Arabidopsis thaliana: one gene and its partner. The protein of the gene in region 1 purifies or fractionates together with the protein of each later gene. This does not show direct contact. Each region holds a gene or a part of one and is shown in the gene's direction. Other genes may lie near its edges.

Region 1 (7,813 bases):
TAGCACCGGTTTCACATAAACAGTTCATAATATAGAGAATGGAAAAGCATTGCCAAGTGAAGGTTACTAATCAACTTATACCAATGCTTAATCAAATATCTCAGTCTTGTCAGATTTGAGGAAGAAAACAGGCACCATAAAAGCTTGAAAAGAAATCACAAACTACCAACAGTTGAGAACAGACCACATTGCCAAGAATTTAGAGATTCAATGCTTTTCAAGAGTAGCAACAGTTATGCATTTGAACATGGCTTTGCAAAACTCGGAAGTAAACAAAAGAGAAACAACTAAAAAAATATAAAAAGCACAAGTTCAAGAATCCAAATGAAAATTAGCAAAGCAGCTAGTCACCATAGGCCAGAATTGCAATGGCAGTTGCAACACATTGCAATGGTACAAATCCTCCCCAACAATGTTCCTGCTAACTCCCCAACAGATTATTTCTCAGACATGATTCTTCTTAGTGACCATGTCCCAGAAGAACTCAGTCAACACAGGCTCGTAAGAGGGCATCTTAGCATATCCAGGAAAGTAGTTAATATCAATTATAAGGTACCTATTAGCATCTTTGGCATCCCTAATCACGTCGAAGTTAAAGAGATTGAGTCCCATTGATTCCCTCATGGCCTTTGCTAGATCTGTCAAGAAACTTAACGGAGGCATTTCCACTTTCTCTAAGCTCCTATCCTCACCATACTCAATGTTCTTGTCCTCTTGAGCAGTCAGATTCGATATCTGCGAAAACGGAAGAGACCCTTTCGACGTCCCAATCTTCTCTTCAGAGATATCAGGTAAAGATCTTCTCTTTACACATTTGACATGATCTCCAACCACATAGACCTTAAAGATCACACCACCATGATTCACAAACTCCTGCAACACAATAGGAGCTTTCAAAATCTTCATCCCTTCTTGATCATAAATCAAAAACATCTTATGAGATTTAGCACTCCCATCAGCATCCAACGGCTTAGCAATCACCGGAAACTTAAGCTCCCCTAAAGCTCCTCCACCGCTCAAGACGCTCGAATCCATAACAACAACTTGCTCCGGGACACCAAATCTCTCGCTATCTGAAACAGGAAACCTCAATTGAGTTATCACCTCAAGCATCGAAACCCTATTGTGCAATCGCTCGATAGCCTCAGGCAAATCGATTACAGGAACACCAGGACATTTCTCGCGAAACTCATGAAGATTCTCCTTCCAATACACATCGTAAAGCTTGTGGATTATGCAATCAAGCTTCCCTTGCTCCAACAACGATTTCGTCGGATCAAGCTTGACCAGATCAATGCCTCGTTGCCTTGAGTGTTCGATCAAAGAAGGTTGGATGAAACTATGCTGTTTCTTGGCTGCGAGTGCGTATCCAACTAAGTATCTTTCCTGGATTGAATCTGACATCTTTCGTTGTTGTTATGCTTCGAAGGTAACAAGATTAGGGAAAAATTCATGCCCAGGAATCAAAACCTCTTCGAGAGAAAAGGGTAAGAAAGGTTCAAGCTTTAGCAAACCCTAGATTTGAAATTCTACACGGAACGTTTAGAAGACTCGATTAGATCGAAGAGATCATACAGAATCGAGATTCCAGAGAGGAGAAATCGTAAAGTTTGGTTTTTTGTGCCCTTTTCTAGAGATGAAATAACAGAGAGAGAAGGGAATGTTGTACACGTGTGGAATCGAATATTGGTACGTGTGAAGATGCAAGTGGCGAATGTTGAACACGTGTTAGCGTGCGAAAGAGGACGAGTCTAGGTCTTTTTCATTAGATGGACGGTTGCGATTGCTTCATAATTATTATGGGCCAATTATATAGTTCATGGGCTTAAATATTTGGATCTCAAACGCAGACGCAAACGCAAACGCTTAATTTGGTACGTCTTAAAATTTGGTACCAATTGAAAAAAAAAGACAAGGTATAAAAGCGAGCTGCTTAAACCCTAATTCTTTCTCCGGCTACCGTTTTTCTTCGCGCAAAGTCCTTCAACGTTCTCTTCACCGGACGGGAAAGAGAGTTCGCCGTCGTGATGGCTCCTCATTCGTTAAAGAAGAACTACAGGTGCTCACGATCTCTAAAGCAGTTCTACGGCGGTGGTCCTTTCATTGTTTCATCTGATGGTTCTTTCATCGCCTGCGCCTGTGGTGACGTCATTAACATCGTTGATTCTACGGATTCATCAGTGAAATCCACGATTGAAGGCGAGTCGGATACGCTCACTGCTTTAGCTCTTAGTCCTGATGATAAGCTCCTTTTCTCTGCTGGACATAGTAGACAAATCCGAGTTTGGGATTTGGAAACCTTGAAATGCATTCGCTCTTGGAAGGTATATATATATTGTACTAACTGATATTGAATTAGGTTTCTCTTTTTTAAAAAATTTGATTTCTAAATATGATTATTGTTGTCCTTGTGGTGTTTTAGTCTATAATTTGTGCTTAATGATGAGCAGGGACACGAAGGACCTGTGATGGGAATGGCTTGCCACGCATCTGGAGGATTGCTAGCTACTGCTGGAGCTGATAGGAAAGTTCTTGTTTGGGATGTTGATGGTGGTTTCTGCACTCATTATTTCAGAGGCCATAAAGGGGTTGTGTCAAGTATCCTCTTCCATCCTGATTCAAACAAAAACATTGTATGTAACAATTCCGTCTATGGGTCAAATTATCTGGGAGTAGTATTTGTGTTATAAAGGGATAGAGTTTCTCGATTATAAAGAGATATGTTATTCTTGTAAAGCTATATTCCACTTTTGTTTGATGATAAGAGTGTGTTCTTGATGGTGTGGTGTAGCTTATCTCGGGAAGTGATGATGCAACCGTTCGTGTCTGGGATCTTAATGCAAAGAATACTGAGAAGAAATGTCTTGCCATTATGGAGAAGCACTTTTCAGCTGTGACTTCAATTGCTCTATCAGAGGATGGATTGACTTTATTCAGTGCTGGAAGAGATAAAGTGAGTTCTATATCCTCTCTAGTTTAATTGAGTTGCATCTTCAGGAGTAGGACTGTTTTCTGTTGGTGTTTTGTTAAATGGTATGAGGCAGTAAATTACGGCCTTTATTCTAAAGTTCAGTTGATTACTGGTGCTAACTTATTGGTTAATCACAGGTTGTGAACTTGTGGGACCTTCATGATTATAGCTGCAAGGCTACAGTTGCAACGTATGAGGTACTAGAAGCTGTGACAACAGTTTCTTCTGGGACGCCTTTCGCTTCATTTGTAGCTTCTTTGGATCAGAAGAAGAGTAAGAAGAAGGAATCTGATTCTCAAGCAACATATTTTATTACTGTTGGTGAACGTGGTGTTGTGCGCATCTGGAAGTCTGAAGGGTGAGCCTTTAATAGGTTTTGTTACGTTGATAATGTTTGGTGTAAAGTCATATAAACTATCCTGGCGTAAGAAAAATGTATTGAAATCTTTGGCTGTTTACTTTGACAGTTCAATTTGCCTCTATGAGCAAAAGTCGTCGGATATTACTGTCAGCTCGGATGATGAGGAATCTAAAAGAGGATTCACTGCAGCTGCTATGCTGCCTTCTGATCACGGACTGCTTTGTGTGACTGCTGATCAGCAGTTCTTTTTCTACTCCGTTGTGGAAAATGTGGAAGAAACAGAGTTAGTGCTAAGCAAGAGGCTGGTTGGATATAATGAAGAAATAGCTGATATGAAGTTCCTAGGTGATGAAGAACAGTTTCTCGCAGTAGCTACAAATCTCGAGGAGGTAATTGAGCTTTTTTCAGCCTGTATCATACGGGCTTGGTCATTATCCTGTGAGTATGATCAAGTCTAAGATTCCATTATTCATGGACTAAGATTTGCAAATATATATATATGCAGGTTCGTGTATATGATGTTGCAACAATGTCATGTTCCTACGTGTTAGCTGGCCATAAGGAAGTTGTTCTGTCCCTCGACACTTGCGTATCTAGTTCTGGGAATGTTCTAATCGTAACTGGAAGTAAAGACAAAACTGTAAGTCCATTTACTCACCTTGTAGTTTTCATAAATTATGTTACGTACCACGAAAGCTAGATTAGTAGGGATGGAATTTTTTGTTCAAGATTTCGTTAGGGTTGTTTGTAGCTTATGTCATTGCTTTTTCATGCACATCATTCCCCACAACATCACCTACAAAAAAACCTTTTCTGCTAGAGTGATCTGTGGACTCGGTTAACTTGTATTTGATTACTTTACAGGTAAGGCTATGGAACGCAACAAGCAAATCTTGTATCGGAGTTGGTACTGGCCATAATGGCGATATCTTAGCGGTTGCTTTTGCGAAGAAGTCCTTCAGTTTCTTTGTCAGTGGAAGTGGGTACGTGCTACATAAATGATTGCATATACCTTTTATTTTGATATAAGTGAAGCATGATGCTTCTAGTTTATGCATATATTGTTTATAACAATGAGGAAATCCTGATTAGGACTCTGTTCTTTCTTTACCCAGCCACCCAACTGAGGAAATATAAGAAAGGATCAATTACCCAGCCACCCAGCATAAGGCTGTTTACTGTTAGGCCTTATACTGGAAAATAAATTTTTCTATCAGATTAGTAGTATAGAGACTGTGTGGTCGAGAATTTTTGACTTCTGTTACCTTCATTTCTCAGTGAAATATTCTGGCTGTAACTAATTTGTGTGCATAAATGCAGAAAGTGTAGAATCTGTCTTGATTGTTAACATAGAGACATGTATCTATTGTTATATCTCCTACCAAACTGTAGGGATATATTTTTTTAATCTCTTAATTACGTTCCTTTGGATTAGTGATCGTACACTGAAGGTCTGGAGCCTTGATGGTATTTCAGAGGACTCAGAGGAGCCCATTAATCTGAAAACTAGAAGTGTTGTCGCTGCCCATGATAAAGACATCAATTCCGTGGCTGTTGCTCGTAACGATAGCTTAGTTTGCACTGGTTCTGAGGTAAGACAATATGATGAGCAAACATTTGTTGTTTAAGTTTATGGTAATTCATTCTATTGAACTTTTTTCTAATACAGATGAATTGAGAAATTTGTCTTCCTTTCTCTCCTATTGAATGAAGATGCACTGGGCTCTGATGGAGACATGCTTCACGTTCTTATCTGACTGTTGGTTTCTGTCTTACAGGATCGTACAGCTAGCATATGGAGACTACCAGACTTGGTACATGTTGTTACACTTAAAGGACACAAGAGGCGGATTTTTTCTGTTGAGTTCTCAACTGTTGATCAGTGCGTAATGACAGCTTCAGGAGATAAGACAGTAAAGATATGGGCTATATCTGATGGTTCCTGCCTCAAAACATTTGAAGGTCATACCTCAAGTGTACTTAGGGCCTCATTTATAACTGATGGAACCCAATTTGTCTCATGTGGTAAGTTTCACTAATCACTCACTACACTGATGTCATTTCTTCTTCATTTTTAGTTTTAACATTCTAACCATGCACTTGTAGGTGCCGATGGTTTGTTGAAACTTTGGAATGTGAACACTAGCGAGTGCATTGCCACATATGACCAGCACGAGGACAAGGTGACATAAACTGTCCTTGGTTTTTGATGTATCTTGGTCTGCCTTTGATGCTATCATTTATAGGATTATGAACTTCGGCTTGCCTGTATTTGTATTGGAAGTATTTATTTTTAGCCTTTTGATGGAATATGTTCATTGCCATTAGTCGCAGAGACCTCTTGCTATTCTGTTCAGACAAATAACAGTTCAACTTTTACAGGTATGGGCTTTAGCTGTTGGAAAGAAGACAGAAATGATTGCAACTGGTGGAGGTGATGCAGTTATTAATTTATGGCATGATTCAACCGCTTCAGATAAAGAAGACGATTTCCGAAAAGAGGTCTGTCAGTTCACTGATTAGATAATTTCTAATAGTCTGGTTTCTGTGGAGCAGTCATGTGTGCTTGATCTTTAGTCCGACCATCATTTTTGAAACACTTCCGATGTGCAGGAAGAAGCAATCTTGAGAGGTCAAGAGCTGGAAAACGCAGTGTTAGATGCGGAATACACTAAAGCTATAAGATTAGCATTTGAGCTTTGTAGGCCTCACAAAGTTTTTGAGCTCTTCAGTGGTCTCTGCAGGTAAAAAAGCCATCTAAGAACACGTACCAATTGCTTTCTTTTCTCGATATTAAGTCTCCTCCTTTTCTTACATGCAATTGGTGTAACAGGAAAAGAGATTCAGACGAACAGATAGTGAAAGCTCTTCAAGGACTTGAAAAAGAAGAGTTCCGTCTACTTTTTGAATATGTCCGAGAATGGAACACAAAACCAAAGCTATGCCACATTGCTCAGTTTGTTCTTTACAAAACCTTCAACATACTTCCTCCCACAGAAATTGTTCAGGTTTGGTTTAACATAAAAAGTGAAAAGATCAATATCAGTAAATAGTATCGGTTTCGCTTGGATTGATTTCGGGATTATTTTTCCAACAGGTAAAAGGAATTGGGGAACTCCTGGAAGGGTTAATCCCATATAGTCAGAGACATTTCAGTAGAATTGACAGATTTGTAAGAAGCAGTTTCTTGTTAGACTACACACTTGGTGAGATGTCTGTGATCGATCCAGAGACTGTTGAGACAGAGTATCCTAAGGACGAGAAGAAAAAAGAAAAAGATGTCATTGCTGCAATGGAACAAGACACAGACGAGCTAAAGCAGGAGACTCCTTCGAGGAAACGAAAGTCTCAGAAATCCAAAGGTAAATCGAATAAGAAGAGACTCATTGCCGAAGCACAGGGAAGCGTAATTGCAGTTTGAGTCTTGAAATACTTCATCAATACCATGGCATGAATTATAAATTTGATTGAGATCTGAGGGGTGGAATCCCAATTTTTGGTTATTCTCGTTTTCTTGTGTAATTGCCTAAATTGGTTGTTGTAAGTGCTGTTAGTTTTTAAATTTTTGTTGAGATTTAAAAAAGTATTTCGTAGCTGAAAAAGATCTATTCACCTTTTTGTTGTTTCTAGATTTTTTTTTGGGTTTTTGGTTTTACGTCAGCGTATATTAGCGTCATGGGAACGAACATGATTAGTAACGTAAAGTCGACCAAATTAGTATATCATTTCTTCATAGAATTAGAATCTGTGTAATACACGTCATGCATCACATAAAACATATCTTAATTTTATGGTTCATGAGGATCTTCACTTCCCATTATTATTCCCTCTTATCACTCTTTCAGCTCACTATTTTTTCTACCTAGACATCTCCTTAACATGCAACTTACAGCATAAGTAAGTGTCATAGATACCAGTTCATTTAACACCCACAACTTTACATAGATTGCTACGAAATTTTCAGGATTAATTTGAGTTTTCTCTAGATAAGCTTGATTACTCCAAATTAGCCATGTACTTTAAATACTGATGATTGTAGAGAGTGGAGAGAATATATGCAAGGTTATGTCTCATGAAACGTTCTAGAAGCCATCTTAATGTAATTAAGCTTCTAGTTTTCACCAGTGCGTGTACTCTGTACATCTGTATTTGGTTCTAATAGTTGCAACTAACATTAATCATGTGTTTTTAATATTACGTCATACATTATGCATGGAGAGGAGATGCCTAATTAGTCACCTAAATAAAATTTATATCGATTAGATTCTTCTAATCAGTCACCTAAATAATGTTTTAAAACAACTCTTATGGATATAAATATAAATAGGTCCCCCGATCGGCACTCGACAGGTATAGATCAAATTCATTAAGTTGGAGCACAATCAGATTCAATCTTAACCTCTTTCTGATACAATCATTTTGGATTTCTATTTTAATAATATATGGTTAACGTCATGAGAAAATCTATATGCCAAAAAAAA
Region 2 (7,803 bases), on another chromosome or scaffold:
CAAATCATGATGATCACTAAGGTTGAATGAACTGAATCTATAGTGTGTGACAACCAATGAAACTCCGAGAGCATATTGATTTTCGCGACATTCACACAAATGAAACGGCTGTGATACTATCATACTACTTTAGAAATGTTATGTTATTTATTTTTATTTAAAAACAGAGTATTCACAGGTTCTACAAAACGTTCATAAACTTAACCGGTTTTAACAAACTATTAAGTCGAGTAAACCATATGTATAAATCAGTAGTTTCCTATGTGTAGTCTCTAAATACACAAAAATGTTTTTAACAAGATTCAAATATATAAATAAATTTATACATGTTCCGGTCTACTTGCCAAACATATTGTTTCACACTCGATACGTTTTGGACTACCAGATCTTTCAACGACCGTATGACGATATGTGTGACAACAAATGGAATGGAGCATTAAAAATGACTTCACACTTCTATGTATCTAATACAAAGAGAAACATAACGAATCTAATCCTCCAAGCCACGTTTTCTAGTACAAGCCTAAAATACTAAAAAGGGTAACCTAAACAAATAAAAAAGTTATAATTAAATTTTCCCCCAACTTTTTCTAAAGAGTATAAGCAACACCAAACCCGTTTTTACGTAGAAGCAATGTCTCTCTCTCATCCTATAAACACTCGACAAACAACACTTTTATGAATTCACATTCAAGAACACTATAAACGACAACTAAAAATATAATTTACAAAAGAAGAACAAAAAAATGTCGAAAACATTCAAAGCCATAAGAGACCGGACATATTCAGGCGTAGGAGACCTCATCAAGCTCCTCCCGACCGGAACCGTCTTCTTGTTCCAATTTTTAAACCCTGTCCTAACCAACAATGGACATTGCCTCCTCATCAACAAATACTTAACCGGAGTTCTCATCGTTATTTGTGCCTTCTCTTGTTGCTTCACTTGCTTCACCGATAGTTACCGAACAAGAGACGGTTACGTTCATTATGGAGTTGCCACCGTGAAGGGTCTTTGGCCAGATTCATCTTCAGTGGATTTGTCTTCGAAAAGGCTTAGAGTTGGAGATTTCGTTCACGCTTTCTTCTCTCTTATCGTGTTCAGTGTTATTTCCTTGTTGGATGCAAACACCGTGAATTGTTTCTATCCTGGCTTTGGCTCCGCTGGGAAGATCTTTCTCATGGTTTTGCCTCCGGTGATCGGAGTTATCTCCGGTGCTGTTTTCACGGTGTTCCCTAGTAGACGTCACGGAATTGGGAATCCCTCGGACCACAGTGAGGATGATGCTTCCGAGATGAAATGATAGTATATGATTTTATACTATTTATATGCATAAAACATTAAAATGTAATGGCATGTGTTTATTCGTGGAATGGTAAATACGAAAGTTTTATAATTGTGATCTTTTTTTTTGTTATTTTTATTTATGTATTTGAATGCTGATCATATGTTGTGTGTTTGTTTTTTGGTATTTTTTCCATATGTTTGTTGATAAACTCAAAAGTAATAACATATCTCTTTTTATGCTCATAGTGAGTGAATCAGCATTATTGAAATCACTAGATGTTAAGGAGTTGAAACTTAAGAGACACTTATATGAACTAATGTATATACACACAAATATTTCTATATATCCTTTTATTTTGAAAGAAATTAGCTAGGAAAAATTAATGTGGATGGGCCCTTTAACAAAAAAAATAAAAAAAATTAATGTGGATGTTAAAAAGGTAAGCCTAGAGTATGAATAAGATAAAAAGTGTACGTTCTTGATTTTCTTTAGATGATAATCATTCAATTATTATACATTGATTTTTAAGAAAATGATAAAAAATTACTAATATTGGTCATGGATGTCGTGAGCCATTTTTCTTTTTGTTTGTTCTGTTTCGTTCTTAGTACCAATGATTACACAACATAGTTGCAAATTGAGAAAACAAAAGTTTGGGTCCGAAGAGTAAGGGCTTCAAATCTATTGAAATAAAGTTAGGGGTTAAATATTGAATAGACAAAAGGTTTAAGACTATATCGCAATTTATCAAAAGTAACATTGGATGTTAGAACCCTGCTGCCTTAACCACTCTAAAACCCTAAATCCCGCCATCAAAAGCTAGAAGAAGAAGAAGAAGAGAAAATCAAAACCAAAGCTTTTGGAGAATGGTGAAGGCTTACCAAAGATACGATGCAGCGACCTCTTTCGGTGTGATTTCATCTGTAGATTCGAACATAGCTTACGATTCGACGGGGAAGTATGTGCTTGCTCCGGCGTTGGAGAAGGTCGGAATATGGCACGTCCGGCAAGGTGTCTGCTCCAAAACCCTAACTCCTTCCTCCTCTCGCGGTGGACCATCTCTCGCCGTTACCTCTATAGCCTCCTCTGCTTCTAGCTTGGTACTTACTTTTGTTCGTTTTTTATTTTGATTTGCTTAATGACTTGAAAGTTGTTCACTTTGTAATCTATTTGGTAGCTAAATAGAGCTAGAAATGTCGTATTTGAATTTTAAGCTAGAATTAATAATATTCATGGTGCTTTGTACTATTGAGTATCTGAAGGAGTTTGCTGTTGTTTGATTCTGTGTGATAAACCAGGTGGCAGTTGGGTATGCAGATGGGAGCATAAGAATATGGGATACTGAGAAAGGAACTTGTGAGGTTAATTTTAATAGCCATAAGGGGGCGGTGACTGCTTTGCGGTACAATAAGGTTGGATCGATGCTTGCATCTGGAAGTAAAGATAATGATATTATCTTGTGGGATGTTGTTGGCGAATCAGGTCTTTTTCGTCTCCGTGGGCACCGAGATCAGGTTATTTAATGTCTAGCTTGATATTTCTAGTATTTAGTGTTTGATGATTCTGCTATGGTGTGTGGGTTTTTATAGTGGTTTTTGACAAGAGCAATGTTCATGTGTCTAATGTAGGTCACAGATCTTGTATTCTTGGATGGTGGTAAGAAACTTGTAAGTTCATCTAAGGACAAGTTCTTGAGAGTCTGGGATCTTGAGACCCAACACTGTATGCAAATAGTTAGTGGTCATCATAGTGAAGTGTGGTCTGTTGATACTGATCCAGAGGAGAGATATGTTGTTACTGGGTCGGCTGATCAAGAACTTAGATTTTATGCTGTCAAGGAATATTCGTCTAACGGATCATTGGTATCTGACTCAAATGCAAATGAAATCAAGGCCAGTGAAGAACATTCGACAGAGAACAAGTGGGAAATTCTAAAGCTGTTTGGGGAAATTCAGAGACAAACTAAGGATAGAGTTGCGAGAGTTAGATTCAATGTTTCGGGAAAACTTCTGGCTTGTCAAATGGCAGGTAAAACTATTGAAATATTCCGGGTTTTGGATGAAGCTGAGGCTAAGCAGAAAGCAAAGCGTAGGCTTCGCAGAAAAGAGAAGAAGAGTTCCAAAGTGGGGGATGAAAATTCAACCGCTAATGGCGAAGCAAGTGCTAAAATTGAACTAGCTGATGCTGTTTCTAGTCCTACTGTCCTTGATGTTTTCAAGCTCTTACAAGTCATTAGAGCTGGGAGAAAAATCAGCTCTTTCTCTTTCTGTCCGACAGCTCCAAAAGAATCCTTAGGAACATTAGCTCTCTCTTTGAACAATAACTCACTGGAATTCTATTCCCTTAAAAGCAGCGAAAACGCGAAAACTGTTACCATTGAACACCAAGGACATCGCTCTGATGTGAGGAGTGTTACCCTCAGTGAAGACAACACCCTTTTGATGTCAACCAGTCACAGTGAAGTAAAAATTTGGAATCCCAGTACAGGTTCCTGCCTCCGGACCATTGATTCAGGATATGGATTATGCAGTTTGATTGTTCCCCAAAACAAGTATGGTATTGTTGGAACCAAGAGTGGGGTACTTGAAATCATTGATATAGGGAGCGCTACCAAAGTGGAAGAAGTGAAGGCTCATGGTGGCACTATTTGGTCAATTACACCTATTCCAAACGATAGCGGGTTTGTCACAGTCAGTGCAGATCATGAAGTCAAATTCTGGGAATACCAAGTCAAACAGAAATCTGGCAAGGTGAGATTCCTGACCTTAAGTTTCTTTTATTTTCTCTATTAGATAAGTAAACGTTTTTGTATCATAGATTGCCTCTCTACTCTCTTTTTTTCCATCTCCTGTTTTCCGTGCCTTTGTTTTCTGGAATTGCTCACTCTTAAGAAAGTTGTTGATGAGCACATTGTTTATTAGTGTTATTTGAGTAGTATATTACAGTGTGCTAAAATGATTCGATCAAAACATATTGTGTTTGATAACCTGCAGGCGACCAAGAAACTCACTGTTTCAAATGTTAAGTCCATGAAGATGAATGACGATGTACTTGCTGTTGCTATCAGCCCGGATGCTAAACACATAGCAGTTGCACTGCTTGATTCCACAGTGAAGGTAGATTTTCTGTTTATGGCATATGTAAATGAGAAAATAATAATTTTCAGTACGTCATATAAATGATACGCTAACCACATTCTTATAATCGTATCTATCGTATTATCATTTACATTGACGTATGTAACACTAACTTATGTACCTTATATTGGTTTCAGGTTTTCTACATGGATTCCCTAAAATTCTACCTCTCCTTATATGGCCACAAGTTGCCTGTGATGTGCATTGACATCTCATCAGATGGAGAGTTGATTGTTACTGGTTCTCAGGACAAAAATTTGAAAATTTGGGGTTTGGATTTTGGTGATTGTCATAAGTCTATCTTTGCTCATGGTGACAGGTACTTCCATAATTCGTACCATATTTCTGAAAATGGCATAACGTACTCAATAATGTGGACCCAGTTTTTCCTTGAATATTATAATTTTGTGTAAGAAAACAGTATGACTAATTGCATGACATGATATATAAGCAGAAAACCCCTTTCCTTTTCCAGTATCTTCCCAACAGATTTACTTGGCTAGTAAAATGTTGATTATTACCGCAAATATTATATTTTGTGTTAAAGACTCCTTGGAATCATTAAAAGATTGTGGAGCTTAACTGACACGCGACTTTGTTTTACAGTGTCATGGGTGTAAAATTTGTTCGGAATACCCATTATCTGTTCAGCATTGGGAAAGACCGCCTCGTCAAGTATTGGGATGCTGACAAATTCGAGCATTTGTTAACGCTTGAAGGACATCATGCAGAGATTTGGTGCCTTGCTATCAGTAACCGTGGTGATTTTCTCGTAACAGGATCTCATGACCGCTCCATGCGTCGCTGGGATCGCTCTGAAGAACCTTTCTTCCTCGAGGTAATTCCCCACTGTTGGAAGTTACTTATTTCAGTTTACATGATGAAATCAAATACGGAAGTCATGCAAGTTCAAGCATTCAAATATAATAACTCTTCTATGTGTATGTGGTTGTGAATGTAGATTTGGTGTCATACTGTCATGTCTACATAAATCTCAAGTATATTTTGACGAGTTATTTTATGTGACTTTAGGTCAATTAATGTAATTTTACTGGAAATAATGCAGGAAGAGAAGGAAAAGAGGTTAGAAGAGCTTTTTGAGTCTGAGATTGATAATGCAGCAGATGACAGGCATGGACCCATGGAGGAAATTCCAGAGGAAGGTGTTGCAGCATTAGCTGGCAAGAAGACGATAGATGTTCTATCAGCTGCTGATTCAATTATAGATGCTCTGGAAGTAGCAGAAGATGAAACAAAGCGTCATGCTGCTTATGAGGTGGGAATCGTTACTTTGTTTGTTTATCTATACATATCGACATGACATCCCCCTAGTTGGTACTTCGTTTTTGGCTAATTTGGAGTTGAATTTAACACAAAATGGTTATGCCAATATCTACGGTTGCTACTTTGTTTCCTACTTGTTCTTTGCATCGTGATTTTTCTTTCTTCCAATCTTCAGGAGGAGAAAACAAAGGGAAAAGTTCCTGAATACCTACCCAACGCTGTGATGTTCGGGCTTTCTCCGTCCGAATATGTTCTCAGGGCCATCTCAAATGTGAGAACAAATGATCTTGAGCAGACTTTGCTGGTAGGTTGCCTTTCTTCCATCAAACCATCGTTTTACTAGTTACTTGGTTGCACCCAACTCGTACTAGATCCATGGTTATGTTAATCAATACCCTTTCCTCTTTTGGGTTTTATGTAGGCTCTACCATTCTCAGATTCTTTGAAGTTTCTTTGCTACATGAAAGACTGGAGTTTAATTCCCGAAAAGGTAAATTATATACTCCTTTTGTGTCGTAGATTCTAGATTTTAGCTCTGAAGGGCTTATAGATATAGCTTCGTGTTGTAAAGTAGAATGTACTCGATCTGGGTCATCAACCTGTTATATTTTTACAACAGATTATAGATCCATCCTTCTCGTCTTAGAATATCTCTAATGTTTGTTACCAAATCCTGCAGGTAGAGTTGGTTAGCAGAATCGCAACCATTATATTACAGACACATCACAACCAGTTGGTAACAACACCATCTGCCAGACCAATCTTAAGCGTTCTCAGGGACATTCTTTACTCAGAAATCAAGGTTAGCAAAGAGGAAAATGTTGTTGAGTTGTATATCTTTTTATTTCTGAATTGGTTTTGATATGAATCTGGAACTTATCAGGCATGCAAAGATACAATCGGTTTCAATTTGGCCGCCATGGATCATGTCAAGGTAAAAACATTTCGCACTTTGGATTATGTTCATTTTTAGCATTTTATCTCATCTTTGTGGGTATTTAAAGTGAAGCTGTGGTGTTTTGCAGCAAATGATGGATGCAAGATCTGATGCTCCCTTCAAAGATGCAAAGGCCAAGCTATTGGAGATAAGGTCACAGCAAGCAAAACGTATGGCATCACGAGGAGATACAAAGATGGAGAAAAAGAGAAAGAAGAAGCAGAAGAAATTAGAGGAAGGACAACATGGCCATGCTTTGTTCTGAGGATGTAACTTTTAAAGATGGTTAATTTAAATCCAATTTTGCCTGTTGTAACCTTTTTTTTTCTTCCATTTAATGTTTTACTAAATCACTTCGTGGAAATGTCAAATGTGGCTCGAAAGGGTCAAAATATAAATTTTCGTTACCAAGGGTCAAAATTGTACATTTCTTAAAATTAAAGGGCCATTCGTGAATAAATGATATGTTTGTGGTTTAAGACTGATTAAACCAGTCTGGTTTAATTCCGAGCTCCACTAATTTCCGGTTAACGTAAAGGTCTTTGCAATGGCGGAACAGTGATGACGGCGACGGTGATCGAATGGTGAGTTTCGTCGGACACCGTCGCTTTTACTTGATTCTCGCGCCTACCTCAAGGTCTCTTTCTCTGCTCCGTATATACAATATACATATACACACAAAACGATCGAGATTATGAGCATTACACGAAATTTTTTCTTACAATTTGGATTTCGATTTCTGAAAATATTCTCACTCATATAGTGAAATAAAAGCGTGTGAAATGGGTTTATGATAAAGGAAATAAAAATTTCATCTTGGGTCAATTTTACAGAAACAAACCCCTTGCAATATATCATCAAGTGATTATTGTTCATTCCTGAGTTACACAAGCTTTGAATTTTATGTTTTGCAATTTCTTGTGGAGGATTACTACTTTCAGTTGTTTGTGTTAAGAGTTCTGCTTCAATGCAAGTGACTATGCCTCATTCCATTATGTCTCTTGATTACACAGAGAAAGATGACTACTCTTCTTCCTGGAATGCACAATTTAGCAGACCTGATGGTGGTAAGTTAAACCTCTGACACTAAGTACATGGAAGTGACACTTGAGATATTTGCTTTTGTTTTCAGTTGAAGCCGGAGTCAGAATTTGCATCT

What was found.
Region 2: the proteins of TOZ (region 1) and AT3G21540 fractionate together in Arabidopsis thaliana (co-fractionation; one large-scale study listed by BioGRID). This does not show direct contact.

Annotation. Positions count from the first base shown.
Region 1 is NC_003076.8:5,503,481-5,511,293, reverse strand, and holds TOZ (Transducin family protein / WD-40 repeat family protein), read left to right. Parts: upstream 1-1,932; 5' UTR 1,933-2,027; coding exon 2,028-2,324; intron 2,325-2,450; coding exon 2,451-2,633; intron 2,634-2,791; coding exon 2,792-2,953; intron 2,954-3,108; coding exon 3,109-3,329; intron 3,330-3,438; coding exon 3,439-3,721; intron 3,722-3,837; coding exon 3,838-3,972; intron 3,973-4,196; coding exon 4,197-4,315; intron 4,316-4,767; coding exon 4,768-4,924; intron 4,925-5,110; coding exon 5,111-5,357; intron 5,358-5,438; coding exon 5,439-5,515; intron 5,516-5,714; coding exon 5,715-5,834; intron 5,835-5,945; coding exon 5,946-6,076; intron 6,077-6,165; coding exon 6,166-6,340; intron 6,341-6,429; coding exon 6,430-6,753; 3' UTR 6,754-7,052; downstream 7,053-7,813. Other genes in the region: ITPK1 (Inositol 1,3,4-trisphosphate 5/6-kinase family protein), read right to left, coding at 445-1,404. UniProt on the Arabidopsis thaliana protein: Essential protein involved in the regulation of cell division planes during embryogenesis which defines cell patterning, especially longitudinal division planes of the proembryo, probably via the regulation of embryo patterning genes expression patterns.
Region 2 is NC_003074.8:7,585,206-7,593,008, reverse strand, and holds AT3G21540 (transducin family protein / WD-40 repeat family protein), read left to right. Parts: upstream 1-2,010; 5' UTR 2,011-2,152; coding exon 2,153-2,386; intron 2,387-2,584; coding exon 2,585-2,800; intron 2,801-2,914; coding exon 2,915-4,036; intron 4,037-4,279; coding exon 4,280-4,402; intron 4,403-4,560; coding exon 4,561-4,742; intron 4,743-5,029; coding exon 5,030-5,261; intron 5,262-5,489; coding exon 5,490-5,699; intron 5,700-5,882; coding exon 5,883-6,011; intron 6,012-6,128; coding exon 6,129-6,197; intron 6,198-6,386; coding exon 6,387-6,509; intron 6,510-6,590; coding exon 6,591-6,641; intron 6,642-6,732; coding exon 6,733-6,909; 3' UTR 6,910-7,123; downstream 7,124-7,803. Other genes in the region: DMP2 (transmembrane protein, putative (DUF679 domain membrane protein 2)), read left to right, coding at 747-1,301.